Linked DNA regions of Anolis sagrei. The protein of the gene in region 2 binds, or shares a complex with, the protein of the main gene of each other region. Links are inferred from orthologs where the notes say so. Each region holds a gene or a part of one and is shown on either strand. Other genes may lie near its edges.

The links. Proteins that work in one complex are often made in the same cells at the same time.
Region 1: the proteins of ACTL7A (region 2) and TES are in contact, whole or in part, in a crystal structure (PDB 2XQN), measured with the Homo sapiens proteins. The link is inferred for Anolis sagrei from reciprocal best matches to the Homo sapiens genes ACTL7A and TES. Residues at the interface, in NP_006678.1 of Homo sapiens: Leu28, Gln29, Thr30, Ala31, Ser32, Leu33, Arg34, Asp35, Gly36, Pro37, Ala38, Lys39, Arg40, Ala41, Val42, Trp43, Val44, Arg45, His46; in NP_056456.1 of Homo sapiens: Asn311, Glu312, Tyr313, Thr314, Gln315, Ala316, Glu317, Leu323, Phe326, Leu335, Ala336, Gly337, Glu338, Ile339, Tyr340, Val341, Tyr353, Pro370, Glu371, Val372, Gln373, Arg374, Val375, Thr376, Tyr377, Ala384, Phe389, Leu398, Ile399, Gly400.

Annotation. Positions count from the first base shown.
Region 1 is NC_090025.1:131,546,251-131,553,903, forward strand, and holds the start of TES (testin), read right to left. Parts: upstream 3,059-7,653; 5' UTR 2,886-3,058; coding exon 2,859-2,885; intron 1-2,858. UniProt on the Homo sapiens protein: Scaffold protein that may play a role in cell adhesion, cell spreading and in the reorganization of the actin cytoskeleton. Plays a role in the regulation of cell proliferation. May act as a tumor suppressor. Inhibits tumor cell growth.
Region 2 is NC_090022.1:150,570,662-150,578,194, forward strand, and holds ACTL7A (actin-like protein 7A), read left to right. Parts: upstream 1-4,860; 5' UTR 4,861-5,628; coding exon 5,629-6,852; 3' UTR 6,853-7,030; downstream 7,031-7,533. Other genes in the region: APTX (aprataxin), read left to right, coding at 1-188, 1,798-1,901, 2,667-2,821. UniProt on the Homo sapiens protein: Essential for normal spermatogenesis and male fertility. Required for normal sperm head morphology, acroplaxome formation, acrosome attachment, and acrosome granule stability.

The DNA.
Region 1 (7,653 bases), on a different chromosome or scaffold from region 2:
CTCTCAGAGAGGCTTACCAATTGTTAATTTGACAGCTCCCACTTATCTATCTTGCAAGCCCTCTTTGAAAATATAGAAAATCAGAGAAAGAGAAACAAATTCACTTCATTCCAAGAGGTAGGAAGTGGTGGATCCAAGGGTTTTCGATCCCCTAGATCAGTGGTTCTCAATCTTCCTAATGCCACAACTCCTTAATAAAGTTCCTCATGTTGTGGTGACCCCCAACCATAACATTATTTTCATTGCTACTTCATAACTGTAATTTTGCTACTGTTATGAATCATAACATAAATATTCTGATATGCAGGATGTAGTTTCGTTGGTAAAAATGGAACGTAATTCAAGCATAGTGAACACAAAAACAATATGTAATTATATATGGCTGGAGAAAGGAAGAGAAAGAGGGAGGCAAGTGAAAGAAAAAGGAGAGGGAAGGAAAGGGGGAGAAAGAATGGAAGAGAAAGGAGGAGAGAGAAAAGAAACCTGGACCCAAAGGAGGCAAAGTGAGCAACTCCCTGTGAATAGTTGCGACCCACAGGTTGAGAACTGCTGCCCTAGATCAAAGCTTGGTGGTGATCTACTGGATCCCATTCTGGGATCTCTAATTGGGTACCACCAAGAGGTACTTTTTAATCATTTGTTAGCTCACAAGCATTCTTGCCTCCATCCAAAATAAACTAGAGGCTAGGATTGTAGGTATGACAATTAACACTGTGTGTGTGTGTGTGTGTGTATACACACACAATAAAAAGATGTAAACAGAAACAGTCCTCACATTCACTGGAGTTGCAGCAGGCATGGGCAACTTTGGCCCTCTGGGTGTTTTGGACTTCAACTCCTAACAGCCTCAGGACCCTTCATTTCCCAACCTATGGTCCGTGGACCACCAGTAGTCCACAAGAATGAAAATATGGTCCGGGGAAAGGAAGGCAGTTAGGAATTGTGGGAGTTGAAGTCCAAAGCACCCAGATGGCTGAAGTTTGCCCATGCCTGAGTTAGGGGCACAAGGACCCCCTGAAAGTGAGAAGTCACGAATAAAGAAATTGTCACACTGGAGGATGTAGATATTCCTAGAGAGGATGAATATCTGAATAACCGAATCCAGAATTAAAGCCGCATATGTGGAGGTCAAAAAGCCTGAGAGTTGTGCTGCTTTTAGCAATATCATAAAAAGAAGACTAAACCTTGAAAGCGATGCAGAGATTCAGACAGCCTCTCTTACAGGCACGAAGGAGAGGACTCATCACAAGAAACACAAGATGCATCTACACTGTAGAAATAATGTACTTTTGACCTCACTTTAACTGCCATGGCTCAGTGATATGAAATCATGGGAGTTTTACAAGGCCTTTAGCTTTCTCTGCCAAAGAGTGCTGGTTCCTCATCAAACTACAACTCCCATGATTCCATAGTGTTGAGCTATTGCAGTTAAAATGGTGTTGAACTGCATACATTTTACAGTGTTAGACCAGCGGCTCCCAACCTTTTTTTGACCAGGGATTACTTGACCAGGGACCACTTTGACCAGGGACCACTCTCTAACAGTACCAAAAGAGTTACGAATCAGTTTTTGGTTAAGTTTTGGTTAGGTTATTTGTGGTGCTGATTCAGAAAGTTGAACTGGAGAGACCACATCAGCTCTAGTTTCTGATACAGGACATTTGTCATTCAGTAGTTGCAATCTGCTCGTCCACAGAAAACCATATTTAATAATCTATAAGAGGGTTTTGTGAGACCAGTCGCTCTTGTTGCCACGTGGTTTTAAGGCAACGGTGTCGTAATGGTGAGGCTATGGACCATAGAACCATAAAGTTGAAAGAGACCTCATGGGCCATCCAGTCCAACCCCATGCCAAGAAGCAGGAAAATTGCATTCAAAGCACTCCTGACAGATGGCCATCCAGCTTGTTATTTTTCATTCTTGAGGACTACTGGTTTAGACACATCCACAGATCACTTCCTAGATGGCAAATAGCCTGCACTTCTACAGAAGACTCTAAAACTAAGATTTCTGACTCCAGTACCAGTTTCTGTCCTTCAGGAGCAGGTCTTTTGTAAGGCTAATAGCCCTTTGCAACCCAAGAAACTCTTATTACACCTCCCTTAATAATAGGGGAAAATTGTAAAATTATACTAGTAGAGGTAAAGGTTTTCCCCTGACATTAAGCCTAGTTGTGTCCGACTCTGTGGGTTGGTGCACATCTCCATTTCTAAGCCAAAGAGCCAGCGTTGTCCGTAGACACCTCCAGAGTCATGTGGCCGGCTTGACTGCATGGAGCGCCGTTACCTTCCCACCAAGGCGGTATCTATTGATCTACTCACATTTGCATGTTTTTGAACTGCTAGGTTGGCAGAAGCTGGGGCTCATGCTGCTCCCCGGATTCGAACCTGTGACTCTTCAGTCAGCAAGTTCAGCAGCTCAGTTAGACTGTTTATCAGCTGAATTATACTGTTGAGAGGCATGGAGCTGTGGCAGTTAAAGCGGTATCAAACTGCATTACTTTTCAAGTGCAGATGCATCCAATGAAAGCAGGAGGGAGAGTTGAGAGGAAAATCTATGCTCTTGTAACTACTGTGAGAATAGCAGCCCAATTTGAAATTGTCAAATTGACAATCGCCAAGCCCCCATAAGCATGGAGTCGTGGCAGTTAAAGCGGTATCAAACTGCATTACTTTTCAAGTGCAGATGCATCCAATGAAAGCAGGAGGGAGAGTTTGGGGATTTCCCAAAGGCAGCCAGGAAAGGTCCAGCAGGGGCGTTGCCCGCCGCAGCCAGGTGACTTAGCACAAGCTCCCTGCCCCGAGGAGCCTCCTCGCTCCTTTCCCCATCCCTTCCTCCCTTCCTTTTTCCTTCCTTACCTTCTTCATTGTGTTTTCCAAATCCATCTTGGTTCCGAGTCCAGCAGGATCCAGGGGAGACTGCAGAGGGAAGAGGCGCCTGCTTGGCTTTCTCGCCCTGTGCCCTCCTGCTCCCTTCCTGACCCTCGGAGGCGGCTCTGCGACCAGCCCCTTCCTCGCCTCTCTCTCTCTCTCTCTTCCGCTCTCCTGCGGCTGCAGTGGGGAGGAGGGAAGGAACAAAGGAAGCGCTGCAGCCAATCAGGGCTCAGCACGGGAAGGCCCGCCAGCCAATCGCGGCGCCTTCCGAATACCTTTTTGCTCCTGCCCCGCTCCGGAGAGAGACTCCCTAGAGGGGCCAACTGGGATACAGTAGCAATTTGCCACCAGCAGTCTCCACCATAAGAAGGAATGTAGCTTGGACATTTCCACACAGCTCTATATCAAGGCAGAAAATCCCACATTCTCTGAATGTGGACGCAGATAATCCAGTTCAAAGCAGATATTGTGGGATTTTTTGCCTTGATATTCTGGGATATAGGGCTGTGTGGAAGGACCCTGGGCTATCTGAGGGCCCTTCCTCTCAGCCCTATATCCCGGAATATCAAGGCAGAAAATCCCACAATATCTGAGTGTGGATTTAGATAACTCATGGCCCTTCCACACAGCCCTATATCCCAACATATCAAGGCAGAAAATCCCACAATATCTGCTGTGAACTAGGTTATCTGAGTCCACACTCAGATAATGTGGGATTATCTGCATCAATATTCTGGGATATAGGGCTGTGTGGAAGGGCCCCCAGTAATCTGAATTCACACTGTCATATATTCCAGTTCCAAGCAGAAATGTGGGATTTTATTCAGCTGTGTGGAAGGGGCCTTTGACACCATTTTGGCCCCTTCTACACTGCCATCTAAAATCCAGATTATCTGATTTGAGCAGGATTATATGGCCATCTAGACCAGTGATCCTCAAACTAAGGCCTGAGGGCCAGATATGGCCCTCCAAAGTCATTTATCTGGCCCTCGCTCAGGGTCAATCTAAGTCTGAAATTAATTGAAAGCACACAACAACACCCTATCGTATCAGCCAAAAGCAGGCCCACACTTCCCATTGAAATACCAATAAATTTATATTTGTTAAAATTGTTCTTCATTTTAATTATATTGCTTTTAAGTGGTTTCTTGCACTACAAATAAGATATGTGCGGTGTGCATAGGAATCAATTCTTTTCTTTTTTTCAAATTATAATCCGGCCCTCCAGCAGTTTGAGGGACTGTGACCTGGCCAGATATCATCCAGTTCAAAGCAGATAACGTGGATTATTTGCTTTGATAATATATATATGGTAGTGTAGAAGGGGCCTTTGACTGCCCTGCCTCAAGTCTGGAATCCTGGGAGTTGTAGTCTTTAGCCCTTTCCCTACCAAAGAGTTGGCTCCTCAGCGAACTATAACTCCTCTAGGATTCCATAAACCTTGAGCCATGGCAAGTGGTATCAGAGTGCATGCATTCTAAGGCTGGATCTACACAGCCATATAAAATCCAGATTACCTGCTTTGAACAGGCTCATATAGCAGTGTAGACTCGTATAATCCAGTTCGAAGCACATAATGTGCATCATCTGCTTTGATAATGTGGATTATATTGCAGTGTATATATAATCTAGTTCAAAGCACATAATGTGCATTATCTACTCTGATAATTTGGATTATATGGCAGTGTAGATCCAGCCTAACAGTGTAGATGCATTGGCCCCTCTGTTTTTTCCAGCTGGGTCTTTTGTAGATCCTTCTGAGAGTAGATCTGCACAGTAGAATTAATGCGGTTTGATGCTATTTGAAATGTCATGGCTAAATGCCATGGAACCCCAGGATGTGTAGCTTTGCAAGGTCTTTAGCTCTTTCTGCTAGAGTGCTGCTGCCTCGCCAAAACTACAACTCTCACAATTCTATAGCATTGACCCATTAAAGTGGTGTCAAACTGCATTAATGCTGCAGTGTAAAGCCATTCCAAGTTTGGTGAAGCACTAGGACTCTTTGACAGTGAAGGCTAAAGACCTTGTAAAAACAGAAGCTCCCAGGATTCCATATCACTGAGCCATGGCTGTTGAAGTGACGTCAAACTGCATCCATTCTGCAGTGCAGATGCACCTTGAGAGCCATTCGTAATGAAGGAGGCATCTGATAAGGTCACTGCAAAGGTATTTGCTGACGCAGGCACAAGGCTCAGGCAATTAACTTCAGGAAGATTTGTCTCCATTTCTCTCTGCCTTTCCTGAGGGCCATGGGAGGGAAAATGAGAGCCATTTATAACAATTGCCGTGAGCCAATGGCCCATGAGTCGTAGATAATCCCCCTCGATTCATAAAGGGCTCCTGAACATCCAGTGATTTATGGCATGTAGGAAATGAAATCTCTCCCCATTTCCCTCCCGCCTTTGTCATTTTTCATATCGTCATTTTCTACATGTTGTTTGCTTTACTTTCCAGCTGCCTCCGGGAAATGAAACAAAACTGAGGCCTTGGAATGGCTGTCAAAGCCATTTAGCTTTTCCAGGCCGGCCCTGCTGTTAGGCAGAGTGAGACAGAAGCCTTGGCCGGAAGGTTTTGGCTCATGATGTAAGGCCAGAAAATTGTGATTACTTCATTTGTTATTATTGGGTCTCTCTCCCTGCCTAATCTGCTTTAGCTGCCAGAGATGGAGAAAGGCATGGATGAGATTTTCTGACTTGTTTTGGTAGGTTTGGCCCTTTTTGTATTCACAAATTCTGCAACCACAGATTCCATCATCCATGGTTGGAAAATATTATGATATCCAAAGAGCAAACCTTGATTTTTGTTATTTTATAAGTGATACTATTGTACTGCGCCACTACATATAAAGGGATAGGCACCTGCAAATCCACCAGAGTCTTTGAACTAACCTCTAGCAGTTACCTGACCTGCTAGACCTCATCTTTGATGCTCTGCCTTAGGCAACAAATTGTATTTGGTGGTTACTGGGACTTTTTCTCATTCCCTTGAAGGATACTGCTACACTGGACACTTAGGTTTATATGAAATGAGCAGAGAAGAAAGCAATTTCACTGTGCAAATGACTGCATGTTGTCTTGGAATTGGTTCAAAGCCTGGATGGTGCTGACACATTGCAGAGACTGGCTTCAAAACTGATCCAGGATCTCAGTATCTGCAGCTTGACAGCCATATAGAAATTATGTTCTTTATTTGGTTTCACCAATTACACTTATTATTGTTCTTATGATTATTATGTTTATTTATACACTGCTTTTTTCTCCACAAGGAGACTCAAAGCAGCTTACATTAAAAACATTCCCATACTATGTCCATACTTAGGCACACTTGTGTGCATTATGGGCACTCTTTCAGAATATCCCCCAACTTTGCTTATCCTCGTTTAAAGTCTTTAATGTGCATTGCTGTGTGTGTTCATGGCATACGTCAATTAAACACTGTGCTGTCAAGCTATCTTCAAACCACCTTATGTAGCCAGTGTACTTACTTACTTAGGTGACCCCACATTGTCCGAGTAAGATTGTCCTCCAAGTGCGGTGTCCTGGCGGTGGGTACGTAGGTGACTGAGGAGTCCTATTCTTGACCTGCATGTTATCCTGAAGTGAAGGAATCAGTTTCCCGATGGAAGGTGGTCCCAGACGCGCCTTCCTCTTGTCACATTTCTCTCTTTCGCCCTCCATTTGTGCCTCTTCAAATTCTACAACATTGCTGGTCACAGCTGACCTCCAGCTAGAGTGCTCAAGGGCCAGAGCTAGCCATCATCACCCTATGAAGGTATCACCCTTCTAGCCTCCACTGGGAAATTCCTTGCAAGAATCCTTGCAAACCACCTTCTACCTCTCTCGGAAGACACCCTTCCAGAATCCCAGAATGGCTTCCGGCCCTCCAGAGGAACAGTGGACATGATCTTCACTGCACAACAGCTTCAAGAAAAATGCAGGGAACAAAATCAACCTCTGTACATGGTATTCATTAACCTTGCAAAGGCATTTGACACAGTGAATCACAGTTCTCTCTGGGCCATCCTCTAAAAAATCGGGTGCCCTGACAAATTTGTGAACATCTAGCGGCTCCTCCACAATGACATGATGGCAACAGTCTTGGACAGCAATGGCTCCCAATGTGACCCATTTAAGGTGTGTAACGTAGATGCCACCACTTTGTGAAGAAGCCACCAGTTTGTATGGGCTTATCAAATTGTTAGCATAGCTAATAGCTAATAATATTGATTTGGTCTTTCTTCAATGTGTAGCGTGACTTAACTTGGAAAGGATTTGTAACAGAGACCGGGCTTTATAATAAACTGTAACAAGTTTATTGAAATGTAGCAGAAGCTTGATGGTTTCAATGTTTCTTGACTCTTAGAGGCACATATCTTCAGAGGTTACATTTATAACATTCCTTAAAACAACTCTGGAAAGGACTCTTCTACTAAACAGGTTTCAAACTTATTTTTCTTCAAACTGTGTTTCTTTCTTTAATAGATTACTTCCGATACAAGCTTATTCTTTCTTTGTGATATTTCTGTTGTAATAAAGATTCTCACTGGGTTTCTCTCCCCCTTTTTACTCACACACTAACTACTAATATAAATAAGTCAACTAGACTTATCTAAACTACCTAGGTTAAAAGCCGAAACCTTCCTGATTCTCACTACAGTAGAATCAGCCTTTCCCTGTAGTTTTTAAACTATAGTCTACCTTCCTGGTGCTCTCTACTACAGAACCAGCCACTCCTGGAGTTCACAGACTACAGACTGATTGTTTTTAAATGGCTGTCCTGC
Region 2 (7,533 bases):
TATCCAAAGGCTCGTTTTCACTGGCTAGTGCTACCATGGCATTCCATCCCTACCTTAAGTGCCGTAACTCAGGAGCACCTTGAACTCTTGGAACACATGCACACTGTTGGAGAAAAGATAATCGAGCAGTGTCCTCAGAAAGATCAGCTGCGCTTTAGACTGGGCTACCATGCTATTCCTAGCATGAGGTAATGTATAATTGTGTTCAGATTGAGTTTGTGCCATGTGGAACATAGATATTTGCCCCAGTAGGAACTGTAAAGATAATTCTTGTGATTGATCGGTCCTAGTCTGTGTTGGAATTCAACACAGTCCTCAATGAGGAACAGTTTAGTTAGCTTAGTATAAACTAAGGCAGGGGTCCTCAAACTAAGGCCCAAGGGCCAAATACTGCCCTCCAAGGTTATTTACCCTCTCTCAAGGTCAACCTAAGTCTGAAACAACTAGAAAGTACACAACAACAACAATCCTATCTCATCAGTCAAGAGCAGGCCCACACTTCCCATTGAAATACTAATAAGTTTATATTTGTCAAAATTGTTCTTCATTTAATTATTGTATTGTTTTTAAGTGGGTTTTTTTGCACTGCAAATAAGATATGTGCAGTGTGCATAGGAATTCATTCATGCTTTTTTCAAATTATAATCCGGCCCTCCAACAATTTGAGAGACTATGACTGGCCCACGGTTTAAAAAGTTTGAGGACCCCTGGACTAAGGGTTTCCCTTACACCATGTCTCTTGAATGACAGTCGGGAATCTATTTATTTCCTCACTCATCTCATTCTGATTGGTTGTTTAAAATGGATACTTTTCTACTGCAAGTCTTTTTGAATTTGACTTCTGCTTTCTCACACTTTATTATGGAGAGTATGTGCTGTGTGCTTTGAGATCTCTCTCTGCTTGTGTCTCAAGAAAAATGTAGTGATTGGTGTTTTTTTCCCTCCCTTTGAAGCCTTAGAAGAGATGGGTGTTAGAGTAGTTCAGACCCAGTTCTTGTTTATTAAGAAATGCAGTTATTCTTATTATTGTAAATAAACCTTTTGTGATTTTTTAAAGATTGAACTCTGCATGTTTGCCTCCTAAGCTCCGAATTCTTTACAGCCACATCACATGGCACTTCACGCTCTGCTAGCTAATGAGCTGATGCTCAACTTTTTGTATCCTGTTTGATTTTTGGATGCTCTGCTATATTTTAGGGTAGTTTTCCCTAACAGTCTGCTTCTGCCAAAAGCTCACCAATCAGCTCCTACTCGTTGTGCCACAAAGAGCTGGTTGGTGGCTCCATTACTGTGGAGTGATGAATTTGCCCTTGGTTTTAATGTTGGCTTTTCCACAGCTGTCCTGGGGTGTATAGAAACTGCCTTAGAGCAGAACAGTCCTGGCAAGGATGGGTCTTTTATTGTCCCACCTCAGCTGCTCCAGATTGTTCAAGATCTGTCCAGTGATCAATCTGTGTTTGGAATGAGGTTCATGAAAGCTCCAGTACAATTTGAACCAGTTGTTGCGGAGCTGCTCATAAAATTAAGGGTGATTTTATCTCTTGACAGTGAAGGACCCAACAACTTCCTGGGTATTTTGGCTGCCTTTAACATTTTGTATTTTGTCCCTTGATCACCAGATGGTCAATTTGTAGTTGTCTAGACATAGCTGGAGTTCTACACCATTACTCCTGAATAGCATAGCTGATGGTGAGGAATGGGGAGATTTGCATCTTAACATTTAGAGAGCCACAGATAGCATACTCCTCCTTTCTAGTAAGACAATACAATAGTTCTGTGTTTTTTCTCTCTTCTCAGCCACCTCCATCTTCATGTTATCAGTCAGGATTTTGATTCTGAATGCTTCAAAACCAAGAAGCACTGGAATTCCTTTACCACAGAATACTTCATAGATTCCAAAGGTTAGGACATCTCTTTTTAAATATATTTTAAAGTTACTCATAACCTTTTTTTTCTTTTGATTTTAGTCCCCCCTCCCCCCCTGTCTTTTGTGTGACAGCATTCTAATCTTAAGTTTGCATTAGCCACATGTGAAGTTTGGGTTTGCTTTTAATGTTGAAAGAGGCATTTTTCTGACAGTCCTTTTATGGTACTAATACCAAGGTGGGAGAAAGTAACTGGGGGATAGTAAGTGAGGGGACAGTTTAGATGGCATAATCCCCTCATTTTGTATATGAACACTGTGACCTAACTAACTAAATATGCTGCTACTGTGATATATAGTTTTATCTGGTTTTATATAATTTTTCTAGAACAGAGTTAGATTGTCCCTTCAGTATAAATTTGGGTAAGAGTATGTTTCTGCACTACTGTATATTTGGGGCACATTGCTCAAGAGCACAATTTTAAAAAATATATTGCTACTGGTAAAAGGAACTGTTTGTAATAAGAGATTAATAATAAGAGATTTCATTTCTTACCATGCACATTGGGGGAGAACAGTTTCTCTGTGCTAGCATTTGGCAAATCAACTTTCAGATATTTTTGGCTTATAATCCCTATCTGACCCAATCACCAAAGTCACTGGTGATGGATTGTGGGAATTTCAGTCCTAAACCAACACTCTGTGTTAAGGTAATGTTTTGACAGCTGAGTCATATAACTTTCAAAGGCATGACTATTGCTGAACTTTAATCTGAAGTTTCCTTCTCCCCATTCCCATTCAGATGTAATTAAGATGGTGAAGACGAAAAGAAGAGTAATTGTAGATAAGAATGCATCCGCACTCTTGAAACTACCTCTAAAGTGTCATGTATGCAAACAACAGCTTCCAACTATCCCTCAGTTAAAGGAACATCTTAAGGAACATTGGCCAAAATGATCTGTCCTAATCTATTCCTTTGTTCAAACATTAATCTGGATACCTTATTACACTGTCTTATTAAATACACCAAAATGTGAGTATTGCTATAACATCCAGCTTAGTGTGACAAACCACAGGTGGTTGTTTTTCAGGTGGACATAGGCAGGATGAGGACTTATTGTACAAGAGGCAATGCTTTATCTTTTGCATCTGTAAACCTTCATCTCTAACACATGGTGTGCAGTTAGCATAAATAAGCCATTTTATATTTAGAGGGCTAACTGAAATGCAGTCTGGGTTTAAATTTGTCCATTTGGCATTCTCTGTTTATTTTTGGTTACCCAATAGCAAGTTGGTATTCGATTTGCTGCATGTATTTGCAGGAGTAAACAGATTGTATTTTGCCTGAAATCTGTCAGATTGAAATATTAGTATTAGAAATATTTAGTATCCCCTTCTGCAATTCAGATTTGATCCGTGGCTTTATTTCTGTACCTGTTTCAAAGCAGCCACTATGAATGTGAGACACATAATGATTTCTGACTTAAGATCTTGGCTAAAGCTTGGATGCCAGTTCATATCCTACACCTATCGTACTTGGTGTGAGTTTGTGCTGAATAAATGGTAATGGGGTGTCTGAGTGGGGCCTCTTGAATGCCATTTAAATGTTATCATCATAGGTTATTGGGTGCTGTTTTGAGTTTAAACTTTGTTTTATATGTTATTGGTTTTATCTTGTATTGTGTGTTTATTTTATGTGTTATTTTAGGCACATTCTGCCATATGTAAGCTGCCCCGAGTCCCTTCAGGGAGATGGAGGAGGGGTACAAAAATAAAGTTATTTAAATAAAGTTATTCTTCCACGGAAGTTCAAGATGCCACAGAAAAGTGCTCTCTGTTTTATCCTCACAACAATCTTGCCCCGTGGCTAAGTCGGATAACAAAAGGCCTTGCTTCACTCAGGCAAATAGGAATTGTTAAATCGTTTCGTGCGTGAATACATTCCTAAATCCCAGTCAGAGTATCTCTGTTATGTAGGTTATGTGATACTATGTACATTTATCCCAAAAGTAAAGTCTACTGGAATCAAATGATTTGACATCCTTCTGGATAGACATTCATAAAGTACTGTTAGCCATCAGTCCTGTTTATACATACGAAGCTTTGTGTCCCTGAAATGTACTCAACATTAGAATGCAAGACTGGAACAGAGAATATGACATATAAATGCTTCCTGGAACTGAAGTGTCTAACGCAGTAGGTGAAATAACAACAAACAGAAGATAAGCAGATGGCTCTTTGGAAACATGGGGGTTGCACAGCTGGGAGTCACCACAGAGGAGACTTTCTTATACATCACAGCCAGGATGCATAAAAGAGATTTTCCAGTTGATCTCAAAGGGCAAGTAGGATTATAAAGGGCTGTAACCAATAGTGCTGTTGATTCACATGAGCCAAGGGACCAACCCACTCAACAACAAGGCTGCTCTGTGTTGCCATTGCTGAAGGAACTTCCATGCATAGTACATTATCTCAAGGTGACTACAGTATGTGCCAATAGCATGGCTAGATCTACTTCCTCTCAAAAGTGGCATAACTGGCACATGAGCCAAAAAGGAGAAAGAGTACTTCTGCCCACAGCTGTCACCTGAACATTGAGAAGAAGAGCTGGGCCTCAAGAGTTGCCTGAAGTGGCAAACTTGATTTAGTGGAACCTTATGGAACCCTCAGCTTCCAACAGACCAATTCACATTCATTGAGCTTAATCTTATTATGCACACTCAGACTTTCACTCACCTCAGGCACCAGCTTAGCATTTCCACTACCCTCCTTGGAAGAAAGATAGCAGAGAGCTGATTTAGCACCATCAAATCAATTACATTAAACACCCCTGCTCCTTACTTCCCAGTACTTTTCTGTAGATGTTGAAAAACAAGAAAAGATGAGAAGCAACTCTTCAAGCCACCATAAGCCCACTTAACCATAAGAAGTCTACTTGACAACAACATGGCTAATCAAATCTGTCTTCTCAACCAATGTGTCAAAAGCACCATAATGTGAGGCATATCCAAGTCTTGTGCTGAATATCATAGATCTTTCTAAACTGTAAATAGATACTACATTCTTTCTCCCCTCTCTCTCCTCCCTTGCTGAAATCCTGCAAAACATGAAGTTCTCAGCTGGCATTGAATTCAACACCTGGTATTGAAATTGCACCCCAATACAATTTGTTGTGGGTGAATCTGTCACCTTTCATTATATAAATTATGTCTGACTCCTGGTCCTAGGGCTAATTACATGGAGCATGATAGAGGAATTGTTAGAGGCCCAATGGGTTTACTGTAGCTGGCACTGGCAATGGAATTTTGGTCAATATTAGCAATCCTCAAATAGGCTTTTGACACTCCTCTTCCCCATAAACCCTGTTACCGAATTTACCTGCTACACTTCTGGAAAGAGAGCAAAGGTACTTAAGGATGGAGGAAAGCTGACCTTTTGAGACACAGTTTTAAAATGTATTACTAAGGATAATCCACAGCATCACTTAATAGGCCAGAAAACAATCCGGTAACTACCAGATATTGTTTGCTTTGATACTTGAGTTCACAGCATGCATCTAATTCATACTCAGTAATTTAAATTTCAGCCTAGGAGAGCCCCAGAAAGTACAGTTTTCCTGTGACTAGCCATTTTCTGCCTAGGGCTGCATCATAGATGATGTCACAGTATAGAGCCTTTGTTTTCTGAAGGTTCTGATATTTCCTGCCATTTGACCTAGCGATCAGTATACAGAGATGGGATTTAAATGAGGACCTGGAGACAAAATGTCGGTAAGAGGGAATGCAAGTTTTGGATCTGTGCCATCAAAGAAAAGAACAGTATTCAAGCCCAGCAGCAAACACAGAGAGGAGAAAGATTCAGCTCCAAGAAGGATAGTGAAAGAAACCAGAGCAGTTGTCATAGATATTGGTACTGGCTCTTGCAAATGTGGGTTTGCAGGAGAACCAAAGCCAACCCATGTGGTTTCATCTACTGTAGGTAAGCATCTCCAGGAGACTGCAAAAACAGGTGATAATAGGAAAGAAACCTTTGTTGGCAGAGAACTTGCAGATGCAACAATACCCCTGAAGCTTGTCAACCCTTTGGTACATGGAATCATAGTGGACTGGGATACCATTCAGGACATATGGGAATATCTTTTCCATGAGGAAATGAAGATTCGGCCTGAGGAACATGCAGTTTTAATATCGGATCCTCCGCTGAGTCCGACCACCAACAGAGAAAAGTATGCAGAAATGCTCTTTGAAACCTTTAACACCCCAGCCATGCACATTGCTTACCAGTCTAGATTGTCGATGTATTCCTATGGAAAGACATCTGGCCTTGTCGTGGAGAGTGGCCATGGTGTTTCTTATGTGGTTCCCATTTATGAAGGCTATACTTTGCCTAACATTACTGAAAGGGTGGATTATGCTGGGTCGAATGTCACTCAGCAATTGATGAATCTCTTAAACCATTCTGTGAAATTGTTCACGGAGAAGGATTGGCGTGTCTTGGAAGATATCAAAGAGAACTATTGCTTCACTTCACTGGATTATCCACAGGATGCAGCTGCGCCTTCTAGGAAGCATGAGATTGAATATGAACTTCCTGATGGGCAAACCATCATTATTGGCAAAGAAAGATTTGCATGTACGGAAATACTCTTCAAGCCCTCCATGGTAAACTCCCAACAGCTGGGGCTTCCTCTCCTGACCATGACGTCTCTGAATAAATGTGATGTTGCCCTCAAAAAGAACCTGATGGGCAACATCCTGTTGTGTGGGGGCTGCACCATGATCAAGGGCTTTGCTGACCGCTTCCAGAGAGAGCTTGTTCGAATGTGTCCAAATGATAATCCCATTTCATCGGCTTCCCCTGAAAGGAAAACGTCAGTATGGACCGGAGGCTCCATCCTGGCATCCCTCAAAGCGTTCCAACAGCTCTGGGTTCACAGGAGAGAATATGAAGAGCGGGGCCCTTTTTACATTTACAGGAAATGTTTCTGAGCTCCTAAGATATCTTGAGTCTGTTCCTTGCAGCCAAAACCTGCTTAACTAGATCTGGAATAATCTGAGAAGGCTCACACTTTCTTTTTCAGCTTTACCTACCAAAATATAACTTGGTCTGTGAACACTAGTAATGGTTTCCTTGCTGTTCTCCCACTATTAAAAGCTCCTTGTTGTAGTTGCACAGTGTTAACAAAGTGGTTTCCCATTTTTTGAAGTAAGTGGCATCGAGTACAGGTGTGTATGGGTAAGGCCTTTTTTATCTTGTTATCCTTTATAAATGTTTCTCATTGACTAACTCCCATATATATAGCTGACATTTCAAAGGACGTGCAAAGTTGCTCTCTTACTCTGCTTTCTGTGTATATATATTATACACACATACAGCAGAGTTTCAGAAGTGTTTTTTTAGTTGCCCAAAAACATCTATTCTCCCTTAAAATATATTTGCCTTTAAATCATGCTCTCAAGAGACAAAAATAAACCTCTGATGATGCTTGCGATAGATGCAGGTGAAACATCAGCAAAGACTGCTTCTAGAACATGGCCATATAGCCCGAAAAACCTACAACAACCCAAAAATAGACTTCTTTAAAAGTAACTTAGTTGGTTTATTCACAAACTTCATGTATTCAGCATACAGGAACTTTGCATATCAATCCAATTACATGCAAAGTACAT